2 linked regions of the Notamacropus eugenii genome follow. The protein of the gene in region 1 purifies or fractionates together with the protein of each later gene. This does not show direct contact. Links are inferred from orthologs where the notes say so. Each region holds a gene or a part of one and is shown in the gene's direction. Other genes may lie near its edges. The genes, in order: PKMYT1 and CCNB2.

Region 1 (8,352 bases):
GCTCAATGTTATGATGATGAAAATGACTTTTTCCTGTTGTTCAGTCATGTATGCCATTTGGATTTTCTTGGCAAAGATATCAGAATGGTTTTCTATTTCCTTCTCTGGCTCATTTTACAGATGAGCAAACTGAAGCAAACAGGATTATGTGATTTGCCCAGGGTCACATAGCTAGTGAGTGTCTGAAGCCAGATTTCAACTGACTCCAGGCCTGATGCTCTGTCCACTGTGCCACCTAACTACCCCAAGAAGAACACCTGGCATTTATATGTTGTTTTAAAAGTTTGTAAAGCCCTTTACACTCATTATCTTATTTGATCCTCACAACAACCCTTAGAGGTAGGTGCTTTTATAATAATCATTTTACAGATGAGAAAACTGAGACAAGAGAGGTTGAGTGACATGTCACACACCTAGTAAGTTTCTGAGGCAAGTCTCAAAGTGGGGTCTATCAAAGATCTGATGCAATCCTAGACTTATTTAGAATTGTAGTGTTCAGAGGTAGGGAGACAATAATCTCTTTGTATTCTATCTTGATCAAACTGTAAAATGTTGTGTTCAGTTCCAGGCATCACAATTTAGAGAAATGAGGGTTTTGATACAGATGTGTAAAGGTAGGTAGGGTAGAGAGTACTCCACCTATAAAGGGGGTGCTGAAACATGTCTAATCCCCACATATGAAAAGAACTGTCAGATATAGTAGGCTTCCTCCTCTTTATGTAATACAGAGCCACATGCCCTTCTTCCTTGGCCTAGGTTCCTTTCAATTTGGTTGAGGGCTTAATGATGCAAAACTATGTGTACATAATGTTTCAAAAGTCTATTTTAGAACTTCAGCTTGTATTTTACCCCTACTCAGATGTTTAAGCTTTGGGAAAATCTCCAAATTTAGCTCATGTCTTGTTTCCCATTACTAATTTTATCTCTTTGTGTGATCCAAAGACAAAAAATACTCAAATTATAGTTTAAGTATATTTACTGAAAGATAAAATACAGTAATGAGATTTCCCAGATAGCTGCTCCATTTCCCCAATAAAAAGCATACCATTTCTTTAGTAACTCCTGTGCTGTAACCCATTAATAGTTTGAATTTTCCCTGTTCACAGTAAAAGTCTGAAGGGGAAGATGAACCGAATCAGCTCAGCAAAATCTGCTTCAGCTTCCATCGCCAGCAATCACAAACTCAAGATGCAGGCATGCCACCCCGTCAATAGAGCTTCCCAGGCTGTTGTCATTACTTGGCCCTCGGTGACCAATTTACTTATTTGACTCGGCTTCAGCAGGTCTCTCTCCAAAGTTCTTAGGCTCTAGAGAGAGTCTGCTACCACTCAAGATAAGTCCCTCTCAAGTTGTTTCATTGGTACTCTGCTGTGACTGTCCTTATAGTTCTTCATGGCTTTCTTACTAAGCAATTTGTCTTTTAGAAGTGGCTCATTTCAGGTGACAAGTCACTATATTCTCATTCTGCTTCTGTAGTGCACAGTTCTGAAGGTAAGGGGAAGAACTGGGGAAGTGGAAGGAAAGATCGAACCTTGTAAATATTGATAACATCCCAAAGGGCAATTGACAAGCTGGAGAAAGATGACTAGAATGATGATGAGAATAGAAACCATGACACATGAAGCTAGTTGAAGAAAACAAGCTTAGCTGGCTTATTTTGTAGAGGAAACTTTTTGGGGTACAAGTTGGACTAGATGTAACCCCAGGTCACTTTCAGTTCTTCCTGTTAATGAAAGATACCAGTACTTAAAGGGCATTCATGGGGATCAAAGATTAGACTTCTACTTGGCTCCAGAGGGCAGAAATAAATACACTATGACCAGGTGGGATTTATGCCAGGAATGCAGGACTGGCTCAATATTAGGAAAACTATGAGAATAACTGACCATATCAATACCACAATTAAGAGAAATCACATGATTATCTCAATCGATGCCAGAAAAAGCTTTTGACAAAAAACAGCACCCACTCCTATTAAAAACACTAGAGAGCACAGGAATAAATGGAGTTTTCCTTAAAATGATTAGCATCCATCTCAAACCATCAGCAGCAAGCATTATACATAATGAGGATAAGCTAGAAGTATTTCCAATAAGATGAGGAGTGAAACAAGGATATCCATTATCACCACTGTTATTCAATAATTGTATTAGAAATGTTAGCTTTAGCAATAAGGTAAGGAAAATAAATTGAAAGAATTAAAATAGGCAATGAGGAAACAAAGCTATCACTCTTTGCACTCTTTGCAGATGATATGATAGTGTACTTAGAGAATCCTAGAGAATCAATTAAAAAACTACTTGAAATAATTAACAACTTTAGCAAAATTGCATGATATAAAATATACCCAAATAAATCACTGGCATTTCTATATATTACCAACATGACCCAGCAGCAAGAGATGGAGAAATTCCATTTAAATAACTGTAGACAATATAAAATATTTGGAAGTCTACCTGACAAGAAAAATCCAGGAACTATATGAACATGAAGGGCAGAAATAGGAGCAATAGGGTGGAGGTTGAAGAGTGGAAGATTTAAGTTTGGTATTAAAAAAACTTCTTAACAATTAAACCTACACAAAATGGGAAATAGGGTGCCTTAGGGTGGGTGGAGGAGTAAGGAGTCCCCCTCTCTGGAAGTCTTCAAGGAGAGTCTGGATAATAATAATTAATAAGCTATTAAAGCTTTAATTACTTAAAGCTGCATGAGGACTTTTGGGGATACCCTTTATAATATCATTGGGGCAGCTAGGTGATGAAGCGGATATAGTATCAAGGTCTGGAGTCCAGATAGCTTCCTGAGTTGAAAATCTGGCCTTAGTAGCTGTGCGACTGTGGGCAAGTCACTTAACCCTGCTTGCCTCAGTTTCTTCATCTGTAAAATGAGCTGGAGAAGGAAATGGCAAACCACTCCACTATCTTTGCCGTAAAAGCCCCAAATGGGGTCATGAAGTCAAACAAGAATGAAAAGCAACTCAACAATTACAGTATCTTTAAAGTATACAAATTACATGTGTGTGTACATACGCATGTATGTATGTATACACACATATACAATTTCATTTGAGCTTCACAGTAACCCAGTGAGTACTGCAAGCATGATTAAATCCTTTCACAGATTGAAAACTTGTACTTAGAAAAGGTAAATAATTTGCTCATGATGACACAGTGTTAGCTGAGGTGATAGATTTGAAGCCTTACTTCCTCATACTCTAAACCCATTTTATACACACTGTGCCAGGTCAGATGACTGCTTTTGCTTGTTATATTGCAGAAGGCATGGTCATCTGGACATAAGTTTGATTAGATGACTTTTGAGGTCTCTTCTAATTCTGAGCTTCTGTGATTCTTGGGCACGAGAGGAGACAAGACAGAGGCGAAGGACAGGTAATGACCGACCTATCTTGGGGTGCCACAGAGAAGTCCTTTGTCTTTCCTTTTCAATGCAGCCTACCATCACTGATTGTCCCATTGACATCTCTGGATCTTTTTGCATTTCTTCCTGTGTGACCCTTCTTTAAGTATGAATGTCCCCATTCCCAAAATGAGGTCGGTTGGCTTAGATCATTAAGATAACCGATTACAGATCATTGATAAACTGAAAAGTATCCAGAGGAGGGCCACTGGGACTATGCAGAGCCTGAAACAACGCCCTATGAAGACTGGTTGAAGGAATTAGGAATGTCAAGCCTGGAGAAGAATTCCAGGAGAAAAGGATACATGTGTTCAAGTATTTGAAGGCTGCCATGTGGAAGACAGAGATTAGATATATTGTTTGGTCCTAGAAGGGCATTTACAGTATGCCAGGCCTCTAGTTAAGTGGTTTACAAATATTACTGGGAGGGAGGTGATATTATTGTCCCCATTTTACAGATGAGGGAACCGAGGCAAACAGAGGTTAAGTGACTTGCCCAAGGTCACACGGCTAGTAAGTGTCTGAGGCCGGACTTGACCTCGGGAAGATGAATGTTCCTCCAACTCCATCCACTGGCCTACCTAGCTGCCTCTGGCCAGGAGGGTGGGACTGGGAACAATGGGATGGAAGGTGCAAAGAGCCAGATTCAAGCTTGATGTCAGGTCAAACTTCTTAATGCTTACAGAGATGTTCCCCTCGGGATACAGCTGGCTCCCCTTCATCCTAGGTCTTCAAGTACAGCCCGGATGACCACTGCTCAGGTTCTGTGGAGATTCTCTTTCCCGTGTGGACTGGACTGGATAGCAAGCTTTTACATCCCAGGATTCCTTCCGGCTCAGACTTTCGGGAGTTCTCGCCCGGGAGAGGGAGGCTGCGGGACAGCCACGTGCAGCGTCCAGCCAAGTACCTGCGGAGCTGGTTCCACGGTGGGTGGGGCCGGGAGGGGCGGGGCTTCTCAGCTGGAAGGCCCGCCCCGCGGCTTCACTGACGTCGCCCAGGGAGCGAGTAGGCGGGGCCTAGCGCCTCACCCGGCTACGTGTGGAGATACGTGATGGGGACGGGCTAGAAGCGGCGCCACTTATTGGTGAATCCATCATGAGGAGGCGGGGCTAAAGGCATTCCTGGGCGGAGCCCACGAGACTCATTTGGAATTTTTGGCGCGAGAAGGCGCCGCGCGCGCGCATGGGACCCTTCCAGTTCCACCGACCCCTCCGCGCGCTGGAGTCTTTGGAACCGGCCGACGTCTGGACCCTCCCCTCCCCTGCCTTGTCCCTCCTCCCTCCCCCACTGCGCGGGACCCTGAAGGCTGGCCCCGTGCCGAACCGGCTCATCCGGGGCACCCGGAGCAGGAGCCCGAGCCCCACCTGGTGGTGAGCGTCTGACCCCTGACCCTGAGGAGACCCCTGACCTTCGGTAACAGCCCCAGCCCTGGCCTCCCGAGCTCCAGGTACCGCGGGCTCGCCCCTCTCAGAGCCCGCCCTCAGCCCCTCCTTCAGAGCCTAGTCCCCTCGCTGACAACCCTGGCCATCCGGTCTTCCCTCTGCCCCGCCCCCCAAGCCCCTTCCCCTCCTAGATCGCTCTTCGTCCCCCAGTCTCCCGGCCCCGCCCCTCCCTGGCTGCTCTTCCTCCCTCGGCCCCTCCTCTTCCCTTCCCTCTCTTGAGCAGCCCTCCTTCGGGGGCCCCCAACCCTTCCCTGGCCCGACAGCCTCTCCCCTTCTCCTCCTACTCGGCCCCTGCCCTGCCCTTCACTCCCTGACGGACCATCCCTTGGTCTTACCCTCCCCTCCCCACACTCCTCCCTCCTCCTGCTTCCTCCTCCTCTGGCCGCCCTTCCCCTTCCAGGATCTTTCCTTGACCCGAGCCCCTTTTTCCCACCCTGGGTAACAGGCACCCTGTTCCCTTCCGTTCTCACTCTCCTCCTTCGTGGACCCCGAAACTCAGTCTCCTCGTTTCCAGTAGCAGCTTCCCTGGCCCCCGCACTCCTTTCCAGTAGTAACCCTGGGCCCCCGAATGACGGGCATTCCCGCCTCCCGCCCCGGCAGCCGATGCACCAAACCCGGCCCGTTTTGTGAACTCTTGTTGTTTTCTGAGGAATGTGTCCCCTGTAGCCACCTCCTTTTGGCTGGACGTGTGTAGCATTTGGTTTGCCAGGATGTCCAAGGTCTAGAAGGGACACAGGAGGAGTGTGGTGGAGTCCGGCTCCTTTGACATGGTAGCCAGGGAGCTGGGACTTGTAATTCCTAGAGGAGAGGAGGGAGTGACTGGTTCTGAAGCCGTTCTGAGCAGGCCTAACTGAGGGTTATCCTGTGCTGTTTGGGCTTATTTTGTTGTGCCTGTGTGTTCTGGGAGGATTTCTTTCTTCAATGCAAGCTGCCCTGTCCTGTGATCCAGGCCTTCTGCTTGCTTTCAATTTAGCAAAACATTTACTCCAAGTAGTTACTATGTTCAAAAATTGGTCCTTGTCCTTGGGGATACAAAAAAGGTGGCTGACACATTCCAACAGAAGCTTGCAATCTGGTCAGGGGATAAGACACATACACAGATATCTATATGTTGGAATGTGATTAAGTGGATAGGAGGGGTCAGATAGAATGACAGGAGAGATTTAGGGTAGGTTGCAATCATTTCTAGCTGGGAGATGGGGGAAATTATCATGAAGAAAAGGACCGCTTGAGTTGGGTCTTGAAAGAATGGAAGAATTTCCACATGTAGAGATGTGTAGAGGTTGCATTCTGAGGGATTGAGGGCAGCATGGGCTGAGGAGAATATATTGAATATAATAATATTGAAGAATGATGAATAGTCCAGGAATGTAGAATGCCAGAAGGGTTATATAATGAGAAATGACTGGAAATGTAAGTTGGTGCCAGATTGTGGAAAGTGTTGAGGGCTAAAATAATTTAATCCTAATTCTATAAACAATGAGAAGACTGAAGTTTTGTCATTTGTGAGCTATTTCTTATGACAATTTAACCTACTCTTAGTAGTTACTGACTTCCTTTGTTTTGTAGGGTCTCCTTTGCTGGTCATGCCAGTCCCAACAGAAGGGACCCCTCCACCCCTCAGTGGTACTCCTGTGCCTGTTCCTGCCTACTTTCGTCATGCTGAGCCTGGCTTCTCTCTTAAGAGGCCTGGGGGCCTGAACAGAAGCCTACCACCACGGCCTCCTGCCAAAGGGAGTGGTTCTGTTAGTCGCTTCTTTCCCCCTAGAACTCCAGGCTGGAGCCAGCCCAGACCCAGAGGAGTTTCATTTCGAGGTGGGCCCCCAGGAGCATTGCAGAGCCGTGGCTATGACCCAGACCGGCCTGAGTCTTTCTTTCAGCAGAGTTTCCAGAGACTTGGGCGATTGGGACGGGGTTCCTTTGGGGAAGTCTTCAAGGTGAGTGGAGAGATGGGGATTCCTTGGTCCCATAATTAAATTCCACCTCTTTTCTTCTGATCAGTTCTTTCAAGGAAGCCAGTTATGTCTCTACTTAGAGCCCCATCTCCTAATAAAGGTTCTAGCCTTGTGTTGCAGGTCTCAAAGTCTTCTGCTTGGAAATAGCTTTTTCAAATGAAATTGATACACTGTTCTTGATTTTGTATCCAGAGCTTTTTCCTTTTACTATGTTCAAAAATTTTCTAATGACCCAACTCCAATTGAAACTTAGTCCTGAGTTTCTGGAACTTCCTAATCCCTTCCCCTGTTTGGCTCTGGAAATTTAAAAATCTACTACATACACAGAGTCCCCAAACCACTTCCCCTTCTACTGATGTTCTGCTGATACCATATTTTGGTGCCCATTTCTGACACATACTTCCTTTTTTCCCTTCTCTCCCCTGTTTCCGCATATATCAAAACACAGAATCACATTTTTTAAAGGTTTATTTCAGAAGGACAAGTAAACATTCAAATTCAGAAATAATATGCTTAGAAGTATATGGAATTAACTTCATTTATTAAACACATACTGTATGCAAAGTAATGTGCTAGGCACTGAAGATTTAAAGATTAAAAAACAAACAGTTTCTGTCGTCAAAGATCTGACATTTTACTAGGGTGATATGACATGTACACAGTTAAGTAAAATATGATAGGGAGTGAAAGGGGCAAAGGAGAAATGAGACAAAATAGGAATATTCAAGGAGGGAGAGTACTAATAACTAAGGATAAGGAAGGCTTCTTGGAGGAAGTAGCCCTGAACTAAAAGACAGCAATCTTGTCCTAACTTTGTGATAGTTAGCTTACCTCTAAATTGTTCTGTTTATATATTCCTAATTTGGTCATGATACTCTCTTCTGGAGTGTTTGCTTCTTCATAGTCCCCAAATGGGGAGTTCAGTCTCAGAAAATCCACAAAATTGGTTTTCAGAGTCACTCATCTAGGCTTAAAGAATTGAACTTATTGGACCATTCCTCAATGCCAGATTTATTCTTAACCAGTCAGTAAGTCTTCAGATGATAAGGGTGGCTTGTTTTGTTCTGTTCATATTACTAGGTAATCATTTTAGTTTACTTCCTTGACCTTTGTGTGTGTGTGTGTTCGTCCTTCTTTGCCCAAAAAGACCTTACCATCAGAGAAATAATGACATGACTTGCACTTGACTTTGTTTTGAGTAAGGGAGGGCTGTGCGGGTCATCAGCCTCACTTCTCCTCCAGAGCCATCAGAATCCAGTGACCAGATATTCCTCAGAATGACTGGAGATGACCCAGGATGAGGCAGTTGGGGTTAAGTGACTTGCCCAAGGTCACACAAGTAGTGAATGTCAAGTGTCTGAGGTGAGATTTGAACTCAGGTCCTCCTGACTCCTACAGTAGTGCTCTATCCACTGCACCACCTAGCTGCCCCAATATTCTGACCTGATGATTGACAGAAGGCAATGTACTTTAAGACCATGTCAGCATTAAACTCCTATTCAGCATGGCACAGTGGAAAGAGTACTATATTTTTGCTT
Region 2 (8,978 bases), about 81 Mb from region 1:
CTGAAACCTTATAATCCTAAGAACTATAGCTTCCCCTTCTGGACCAACCCCTCATTCCTATAAGTAACACAGTATCAACTTTCTTGCATAGCAGAAAAAGGCAAATCTGGAAGCATTGCTGAAAGGGAACTTAGAAATAAGGTTTCTTTTCTCTGTGCCACCACTCTCCTCCTGGTCCCCCACCCTACAGACAAACATGACCCTTACAAATGTGCTTACAAATCTGGCACCAATGAATGAAAAAATGTTCAAATCAGCTAGAAGAGGCTCTTTCAAAGGGACAAATGACTTCCACTGCCACCCAGAAATGTCCTTTCCACCTTCTTTAGAATCTCTCTGGAAAAGGATCCCTTGAGAGTATTCTTAACATGGAATTAATTCAAAGATCTAGAATAAAAGGGTTTTTCACCCCCAACTGAATATTCAAGATAACCATGAAGTCAACGTTCTACAAACTCCCCAAAGTTGACCCATTAATCCATTTACATCTTAGTCTGATAAAGTTCTTATAAACTCTGTTATAAAAAAGGCTAGTGAAAAGTAACAAAAAATTTGCTTTGTGTCCCTTTCTGAATTCAACTATACTTACAAAACCCTAATAACTTTGTTTCCTTTTTCTTTTAAAGTCACCTGCTTTTCAACCTGCTCTTTAAAAAAAAAAAGAGCTGATGTGACTCATCTTTGAGACACTATACAAGCATCTGTGACCGAACTCTTAAGGGCTTGCCCCAAATCATCATTTATTTTCTTTTTTCTTTTCCCCCAATATATGTTTTTTTCCTTAATAGTATTTTTTCCAATTACATGTAAAGATACTTTTCAACATTCATTTTTCTAAAATTTTGAGTTCCAAAATTTTCTCCCTCCCTGCTACCCAAAAGAGCAAGCAATCTGATATGTTATACATATACAATCATGTTAAACATTTACACATTGGTCATCTTGTGAAAGAAGAATCAGAACAAAAGAGAAAAAACCACAAAGAAAAAAGCGTAAATAGTGCGCTTTGATCAGCATTCAGAGTCCATAGTTTTTTCTCTGGATGTAGTTAGCATTTTCCATCACAAGTCTTTCGCAAGTGTCTTGGATCATTGTATTGCTGAGAAGAGCTTAGTTTAACAAAGTTGGTCATCACACAGTGCTGCTGTTACTGTGTGTGTTACAGTGTTCTGGTTCTTCTAACTTCACTCAGCATCAGTTCATGCAAGTCTTTCCAGGTTTTTCTGAAGCCTGCCTGCTCATTTATTTTTATTTTTTAAAGTTAATTTATTTATTTTTAGTTTTCAATATTCACTTCCATAAGTTTTAAATTTTCTCCTCCTTCCTTCTGTCCTTCCCTCCCCAAGACAGCATACAGTCTGATATAGGTGCTACATAGACATTCCTATTAAACATATTTTCACATTAGTCATGTGGTACAGAAGAATTAGAACAAATAGGAGGAACCATGAGAAAGAAAAAAAAGCAAAAAAAGAAAAGAAAGTAATCTGCCTTGCTCTGCATTCAGACTCGGCATTTGCCATCATGAGTCCTTTGGAATTTTTTTAGGTCCTTGCATTGCTGAGAAAGGCTAAGTCTATCAAAGTCAGTCAATGCACACTGTGGCTGTTACTGTGTACAGTGTTCTCCTGGTTCTGCTCTCTTCACTCATTCATATTTTCATATTCATATATTCATATTCACTCATTCATATCCCTTCATATAATTCTTCCTGCTCATCATTTCCTTTCCTTTCCTTTCATTACATTCATATACCACAAGTTGTTCAGCCATTCTCCAGCTGATGGGCATCCTCTCAATTTCCAATTCTTTGCCACCCCAAAAAGAACCACTATAAATATTTTTGTAGTACATATAGGTCCTTTTCCCTTTTTTATAATCTCCTTGGGATACAGACCTAGTAGTGATATTGCTAAATCAAAGGGTATATACAGTTTTATAGATCTTTGGGCATAGTTCCTAATTGCTCTCCAGAGTTGAATCAGTTCACAATTCCACCAACAATGCATGTGTCCCAATTTTCCCACATCTCCAACATTTATCATTTGCCTTGTCATATTAGCCAATCTGATAGGTGTAATGTGGTATCTCAGAGTTGTTTTAATTTTCATTTCTCTAATCAATAGTGATGTAGAGCATTTTTTCATATGACTATAGATAGTTTTAATTTCTTCATCTGAAAACTGCATGGTCATATCCTTTGACCATTTATCAATTGGGGGATGACTTGTATTCTTATAAATTTGACTCAGTTCTCCATATATTTAAGAAATGAGGCCTTTATGAGAAATGCTACCTATAAAAATTATTTCCCAGATTTCTGCTTTCCTTCTAATTTTGGTTGTATTGGTTTTGTTTGTGTAAAACCTTTTTGACTTAATGTAATCAAAATTATCCATTTTGCATTTGATAATGTTCTTTCTTTCTTGTTTGCTCAGAAATTCTTCCTTTCTCCATGGATCTGACAGGTAAATCATTCCTTGTGCTTCTAATTTGCTTATGGCATCATCCATTATGTCTAAATCATGTACCCATTTAGATCTTATCTTGAACTAGAGCCCATGATATCTTTTTATGGCAAACACAGTGATAGCTGACATTTATATAGTGCTGAAAAACAGTATCTTTTATTGTCACTTAAGCTGGCAACAGATTTTTAGGCTTCCATATACATGACTGACTTAAATAGATCTCTTCCTCTAAAGTCTCCCAGATTCTGAAGAACTGCCTATTCACCCCACCCCATCTTTATACTTGGAAAAGCCTAAGTGTAAGACTGGATCTACACTAAATGATGTCATCTTGGATCCAGTTCAAAGTGATCTTTGTACATTGACCTGACATGTTAGCCATCCTTCCCCATTTTCTCAGGCAGGGCACTGAAAAGTCAGACCGCAGCATTCAGTGCGGTGAGGCAGTAAATGGCTTGCTGTAAAGGGGACTCTGAGTCAGATCAGAGTCTTGGCACAGAGTAAAGGCAGGGTGTGTGTGCATGCATGCGTGTGTGTGTGTGTGTGTGTGTGTGTGCGCGTGTGCGTGCGATGATTCAGATAAAGAGTTGTACCTGTGAGGAACTGCTCATTTCTATGAAGTGGCAGGCAATTTGCTTACCTTTGCTCCCCTGATTCCTATGATTCAGAGTCAAGCCCTGTTAAAGCTGTCCCCCCACTTTCTTCCCTCTCCTGACTCTCCTCATACTCTCATTTCTGTTCACCTCAGTCCTCCATTGTTCATATTCTCTTCTGCTTCACCATTCCTTTATATTCTCCAGAACAGAACCCCTTCTCTTTTGCTAAACAAGCTCCCCTTTATTCTGGATCTCTTTTGTTTAAAATCATTTTACTGAAGCTCTTTTTTTAGATGTATCATCATCATTTTCCAGTGACTTCTTTTGACCCCAATAGAAATTTCCCTTGTCACAAAGAATTACAGTTAAGCAAAACAAATCAACATATTGCTCATGTCTATCAAAAAAGTCTGCATTCCATTCTTATAGTCCATCACCTCTCTGCTGAGAGGAAGGCATACTTCATCAACAATTCAAGTGATAATTAGTCACTGCAGTGATCAGTTATTACGTCAATCAGTCATTTTCCTTTACCATTATGGTGACGTTTTTGTAATTTGTTCTCTTGATTTGCTTTGTTTTACAATAGTTCATACGTCAGAATGATCCTGTTGTCGAGGTCATACAATATTCTATTGAGTTCACATAAAACAATTTACTCAGCCACTCCCAAATTCTGCTTCCAGTTCTCTGCTTCCTCAAAACATTTTTCTATAAATATTATTTTCTATAAATATATTTATATAAATAAAAGTTTCTCTATAAATATAAATATATATACATATAAATTTTCCTTTGGCATTCTTGTAGTGTATTGCTGGCTCAAAGTTACTTTTTCTTGTATAATTCCAAATAATTTTCCAGAATCGTTTTTCCTGGATCTCTCAACCCACTTTCCTTCATCTCGCGTGAAGGGAAACCTAGCTGTCTCCAGGACACACTCATTCCATCTGTAAACTCTAAATATCTACCATTTTTTAAAAGCCCCAATGGAGAGGCCTGAACGCATCAGAAAAATAAAGAAAAACCTACGTCCCTGTGCCTATGCCCATACTTCCCATTCCCATCTACCTTGACGCCTTGATATTCTGGCCACCCCCGCTCCTCCTGAGTCTTCTTATTGTACTCCACGGGTTCCCTAAAAATCCCGAATTTCTCTCAGTTTCTCCTCTCCTTGGCACACGGCCCGTGGTTACCAGCCGAAATCAGGACTTCCGCACAAACATCTGGCGGTCTCGCTCCAGTCTTGGAGAACAGGGGCCAAGACCAAGAGGCTGGACGAAGGATCGGGGCTTGGGTGTCCTGGCTGACACGCAGCTGGACCCGTCGATGTTGGTCGTATTCCCGCATAGTTCTGTTTTAGAGAAGGCACACACACCGGATGCCATTAAGCCCAGGGCAAGAGCCTGCCTGGCTCCGGGGATGCCCGGCGGGCACCGGCTGGGGCCGCCGCAGTCTCCTTCGGGCCCTCTCGGCCTCGTGGGTGGGCGCAGCTGCGCTGTGGGCTAAGGCAGCTCCGGAGAGATGGCCTTCCGAACACGTGCCTTACACGTTCCTACTTCCCCAGGGCTGGGCACTGGGGCGCGCCGCCGCTGCCGAGCAGGGAAGGGGCGCCCGCGGCGGGAGGGCAGGAGCCTTCCCACGTCTGCTCGTTTCATCTGCCACCTGCGGGTGCCTGGCACTTCGCAGACGGTCCGTCAACGCGAGCGGACTTGCAGGGCCTGGCCCCCGCCCCAAGCCCCACGGAGGGGGAGCCCTTCCCATCCCCCCGCATCCCTTCTCGGGCCTGGGTGCCTTTTCTTTCTTTAGCAGGAAAGGCGCCCCCAAGGAGTTTTAAAGTTCTGATTATTGTAAGGGAGCAGGGAAGTCACGGAACGGAAGTGGGTGGGCATGTGCTGGGATGTCGGGGGGGCACAGGGAGGCTCCCCCCCGCGTCTTCCTTCCCAGGGGAAGCTGACGAACAAGGGGCCACAGCGCGTCATTTCCAACGCTAGCACAAAGAAGCCAAACAGCGTCGGCAAGAAGACCGCAAACTAGAAACTCCGATTTCCGGCTCAGGACACGGAAGAAGGAAATGAAACTCCCAGAAGCCTCCGCGGTTCTAGCTCCCGCCCCATCCGGTAAGAACCATCGCGAGATAACATCAGGCCCGGGTTTATACGAGGGGTGGGAAGCTTTCCAGTTTTCCATTTCCGTCCTTTGGTTCAGTTCCGTTTGGTTTCTGTTTCCTCTTGGCCACTTTTTAATTTACAAAACTTTTTTTACTCGGAAAATCTTCATATGTATGATATGTATTATGTATATATCATATATATGTACATATATCTATATATCTATATCCAGGAAAAACAATCCCCAATTGCTATGACAACCCAACGGGTCCTCGGAAACAGCCAATCAACGCGTAGCGGGAGGGGGGGGGGGGCGTCTGATCGGTCCGGCCAATGAGAAGAGCGGGTCTCCTGGCGGAAGGGCCAATGGGAGGGCGAGTGGTGCGGTTTGAATTCCGGCCGTAGGGCTGAGAGGCGGCGGCCGCGGCGTGATCTTGGGACCGCGTTGTGCGGCGGTTCGTGTTGCTTCTGTGTGTCTCGCCAGTTCCCCGCGGCCCCTGCTCCGGCCCGGCCCGGGCCCCATGGCGCTGTTCCGACGCCCCGCGGTGAGTCTGCGGCGTGGTGGCCGCGTCCTCGCCCCTTCCCCCGGCGGGGTCGCCCCGAGGCCTCGGCCGTCGCCTCCTCGTACGGTCCCTTCGGGGCGGCGGCTGGGGAGGGAGGAGGGAAGGAAGTTGGTGACGTAGGGCCTCTCCCAGGTCTTGATCCCCAAGTCCCCCGTCCGCCCTCCCCCAGAGGCGGCGCCGTCTTTTTGTGCGGAGGATCGGGGCTCGAACCCCAGCTCTTCCGCTGAGAGCCCCGGGGCCTTGTGCTCTAGGTTTCTCGTGGTCAGGCCCTCTCTCTTCGGCCCATCGCGTTCTCTGGCTGGATTTAGAGTCCGGGCGCGGAATCCTGTGGTAGATCCCCCTCCCTCTCCGCTCCCGGGGCCAGACCCCTGCGCCTCTGACTGAGCCATCCCCAGGCTCTGACTGTGTCACCACCCCGTACCGGGACGATTGCAGCAGCCTGTTGGGGGGGGTCTTCCTGCCACAGTCTCCCCCTCCTATCCATCCTTCGTTGAGTGCACAAGCAGAAGACTCAGCACGTCACTCCCCTGCTCAGTAAACTTCAGCGGCTCCCCAGTACCTCGGGATCCAGTGGGATTTGGCATTCCAAGCTCTTCACACCTGGGTCCCTTCCCACCTTCCCAGTCTTCCCAGACTTTACCCTTCTGCTTGTACTCTACTGCCCAGCTCCTCGTCTTTGCCGTCTCTCAAGAACTGTACTGCGTTAGTCCCTGGGGCTGAGCTTCCCATAGCACTTTCCATTTACTTTGTATACTCATTTTTTATTTTTATTTTTGCATGTATTGTCACCGTCTTGGAGTACTGGGCCCCAAAGCCAGAAAGATCTGAGTTCAAATCCAGCCTCAGACCTGTGTAAATCACTTCTCTTTTCTCTTCCTCAGCTTTCTCAGCTGTGAAATGGGGAGTGATACTAGCATCTATCAAGGTTGTAGTGAGAATCCAATAAGATATTATTTATAAAGTGCTTAGTGTAGTGCCTAGCACATATTAAATTAAGTGCCTGGCTCGTATTAAATGCTTCTTCTCTTTCCCCTTTATTGGAATGGTGCTGAGTGAGTTTGGATGACTAGTAGCTGGATGAGGAAGACCTCAAGGAGCTCCTTGAGGTCATGAACTGTGGTTTTGCCCTTTTTTTATCCACCCAGCTCATAATATAGTGTGCCAAGCACTGAGTAGATAAATAAATACTTATAGACTGGTTGGTGAGTGAACTATTGATTCTTTAGGAAAATCACTCTGGCAGCTTTATAGACGGTGGGATGGAGTAAGGTAGGGAGATGAATTAAGAGGCTATTTCAGTAGTCCACTAAATAGGATGAAGGCCTGAACTAAGGTGGTTGTTGAGGGAGTAGAGGTAAAGGAACAAATATAAGAGATGTGGAAGAAGAATGACAAACTTTAGCAACTGATTAACTATGTGTGGTGAGTGAGAGGAGTCAAAGGTAACTGAATTTGTCAACATGAATGACTGAAAGGATTGTGGTACTTTTGACAGTAACAGGAAAGTTTGAAAGGGGTAGGATTTGAGGGAAATATTTTGACTTGGAGATGCCTAGGAGACATCTAGTTTGAAAAGTCCAATATTGCAGTTGATGATGTGGGATTGGACCTTCTAAAAGAGACAGGCTGGATACATAGACTTAGGAAAACATGGAGACAGTAAATGTAAACGGGAAGATTGTGAGACATCCTGAGTGGATAGCATACAGGATTTGAAGCTGTTGCATGATCCAGTATCTGTTGGCTCTCCTAGATATAGTAGATTAAGTGGACCAGTTTCCATGTACTCAGTCACTAGTCAGCTTCTTTGGGGTCTAAGGCAGGAGCTCTAAAGATGAAGGATTCAGTTTTCCTGGGATTTGAGGCATAGATTCAGGAAAATCCAGGTCTTGTTTGGGAAGGTATTGGTCTAGGAGGGAAGGAACAAGTCTGCAGTGTCAAAGAAGAAATCTAAGGAGAGATTGAATGTTAGAGAGAAAGGAAGGATGATAGCAAGGACAGTCTGCTAGAGATGGGGGAGGAGAGGAGATAATCAGCTAGCACTGTATGTAAGCACTTACTTAGTAAGTCATTTTAGTAAGCACTTACTGTGTGCCTGCAAGTGTGCACTGGGAATGCAAAGAAAGGCCATAAATGCCTCTGTCCTTAAGGAGCTCACATCCTGATGGAATAGACATCTTAATAACTGGGTACATGCAAGTTGAATATAAATTAGGTCAAAGATAATCTGAGGGAAAGCACTAATTGGGAAAGGTAGGAGTTGAGCTGCATCTTGAGAGAGGCCCAGTAGAAGGCAAAACTTTCTAAGCAAGGGGGCAACTTCTAGGCATGGGACAGCTAGTAAGTTCAAAGGCCCCAGAAACAAGAAGAGGTGGAGTGACTGGTTAGAGGAAGTACATATAGGCTAATTGGCTTTAACAAAGTGTGTGGAGGAGGGTAAGGTGTGACAGGTCTCCAAAAGTAGGAAGATGAGATGGTATAAAGAGCTTTAAATGTCAAACAAGGGAGTTTAATATTTGATTGGAGCCCAAGCTGCAGGTGGAATGACATGGCCCAACCTGTTTCTTAGAAAAAAATCACTTTAGCAGCTGAGTAGGAAAACCAGTCAAAAGGTTATTGCATTTATCCAGACAAGAGGTGATGAGAGCCTCAGCCAGGATGGTGGTTATTAGAGTTGAGAGAAGTGGCTATACAGCAGATGTTGTAGAAAGTATAGAAAGTAGAAATGACAAGATTTGGCAGTGGGTTAGAGATATGTGGGGTGAGAGAGTACTCAAGGATGATACTGAGGTTGGAATCTGCTTGATGGTGGTGGTGCCCTCAAAGGTAATATGGAAGTTTGGAAGAAAGGAGAGTTTAAAGTAATAAGTTCTGTTTTGGATATGTTGAGTTTGATTTTTCTGTGGGATATACAATTCAAGATTTCCAAAAGGCAGTTTCTGCTTGCCTGAAACTCAGGAAATAAATTTGGGCTAAATATATTGATATGAATATCATTTGCATAGAGATGATAACTGAACCCATGGAGTCAGATGAGATCACCAAGTGTGAAAGGTTAGAGTAAAAAAAGGGCCGTGGACAGATCCTTGAGGGATAATATGATTAATGGGTATAATAGTCTCAGAAAGGAACCAGCAAGATACTGAGAAAGAAGAGGCCTTTTAAGCAAGGAAAACCTAAAGAAGGTAGTATCAAGAAAGAGGTGTCAATTCTTCAAAGATATCAAGAAGTATCAGG

The links.
Region 2: the proteins of PKMYT1 (region 1) and CCNB2 purify together in Homo sapiens (affinity purification with mass spectrometry; 4 studies listed by BioGRID and IntAct, with this or other methods). This does not show direct contact. The link is inferred for Notamacropus eugenii from reciprocal best matches to the Homo sapiens genes PKMYT1 and CCNB2.

What each region holds. Positions count from the first base shown.
Region 1 is NC_092872.1:56,510,019-56,518,370, reverse strand, and holds the start of PKMYT1 (membrane-associated tyrosine- and threonine-specific cdc2-inhibitory kinase), read left to right. Parts: upstream 1-4,562; 5' UTR 4,563-4,787; exon of another isoform or gene 4,788-4,864; intron 4,865-5,472; exon of another isoform or gene 5,473-5,629; intron 5,630-6,428; 5' UTR 6,429-6,445; coding exon 6,446-6,796; intron 6,797-8,352. UniProt on the Homo sapiens protein: Acts as a negative regulator of entry into mitosis (G2 to M transition) by phosphorylation of the CDK1 kinase specifically when CDK1 is complexed to cyclins. Mediates phosphorylation of CDK1 predominantly on 'Thr-14'. Also involved in Golgi fragmentation.
Region 2 is NC_092872.1:137,179,693-137,188,670, reverse strand, and holds the start of CCNB2 (G2/mitotic-specific cyclin-B2), read left to right. Parts: upstream 1-5,331; 5' UTR 5,332-5,699; coding exon 5,700-5,723; intron 5,724-8,978. UniProt on the Homo sapiens protein: Essential for the control of the cell cycle at the G2/M (mitosis) transition.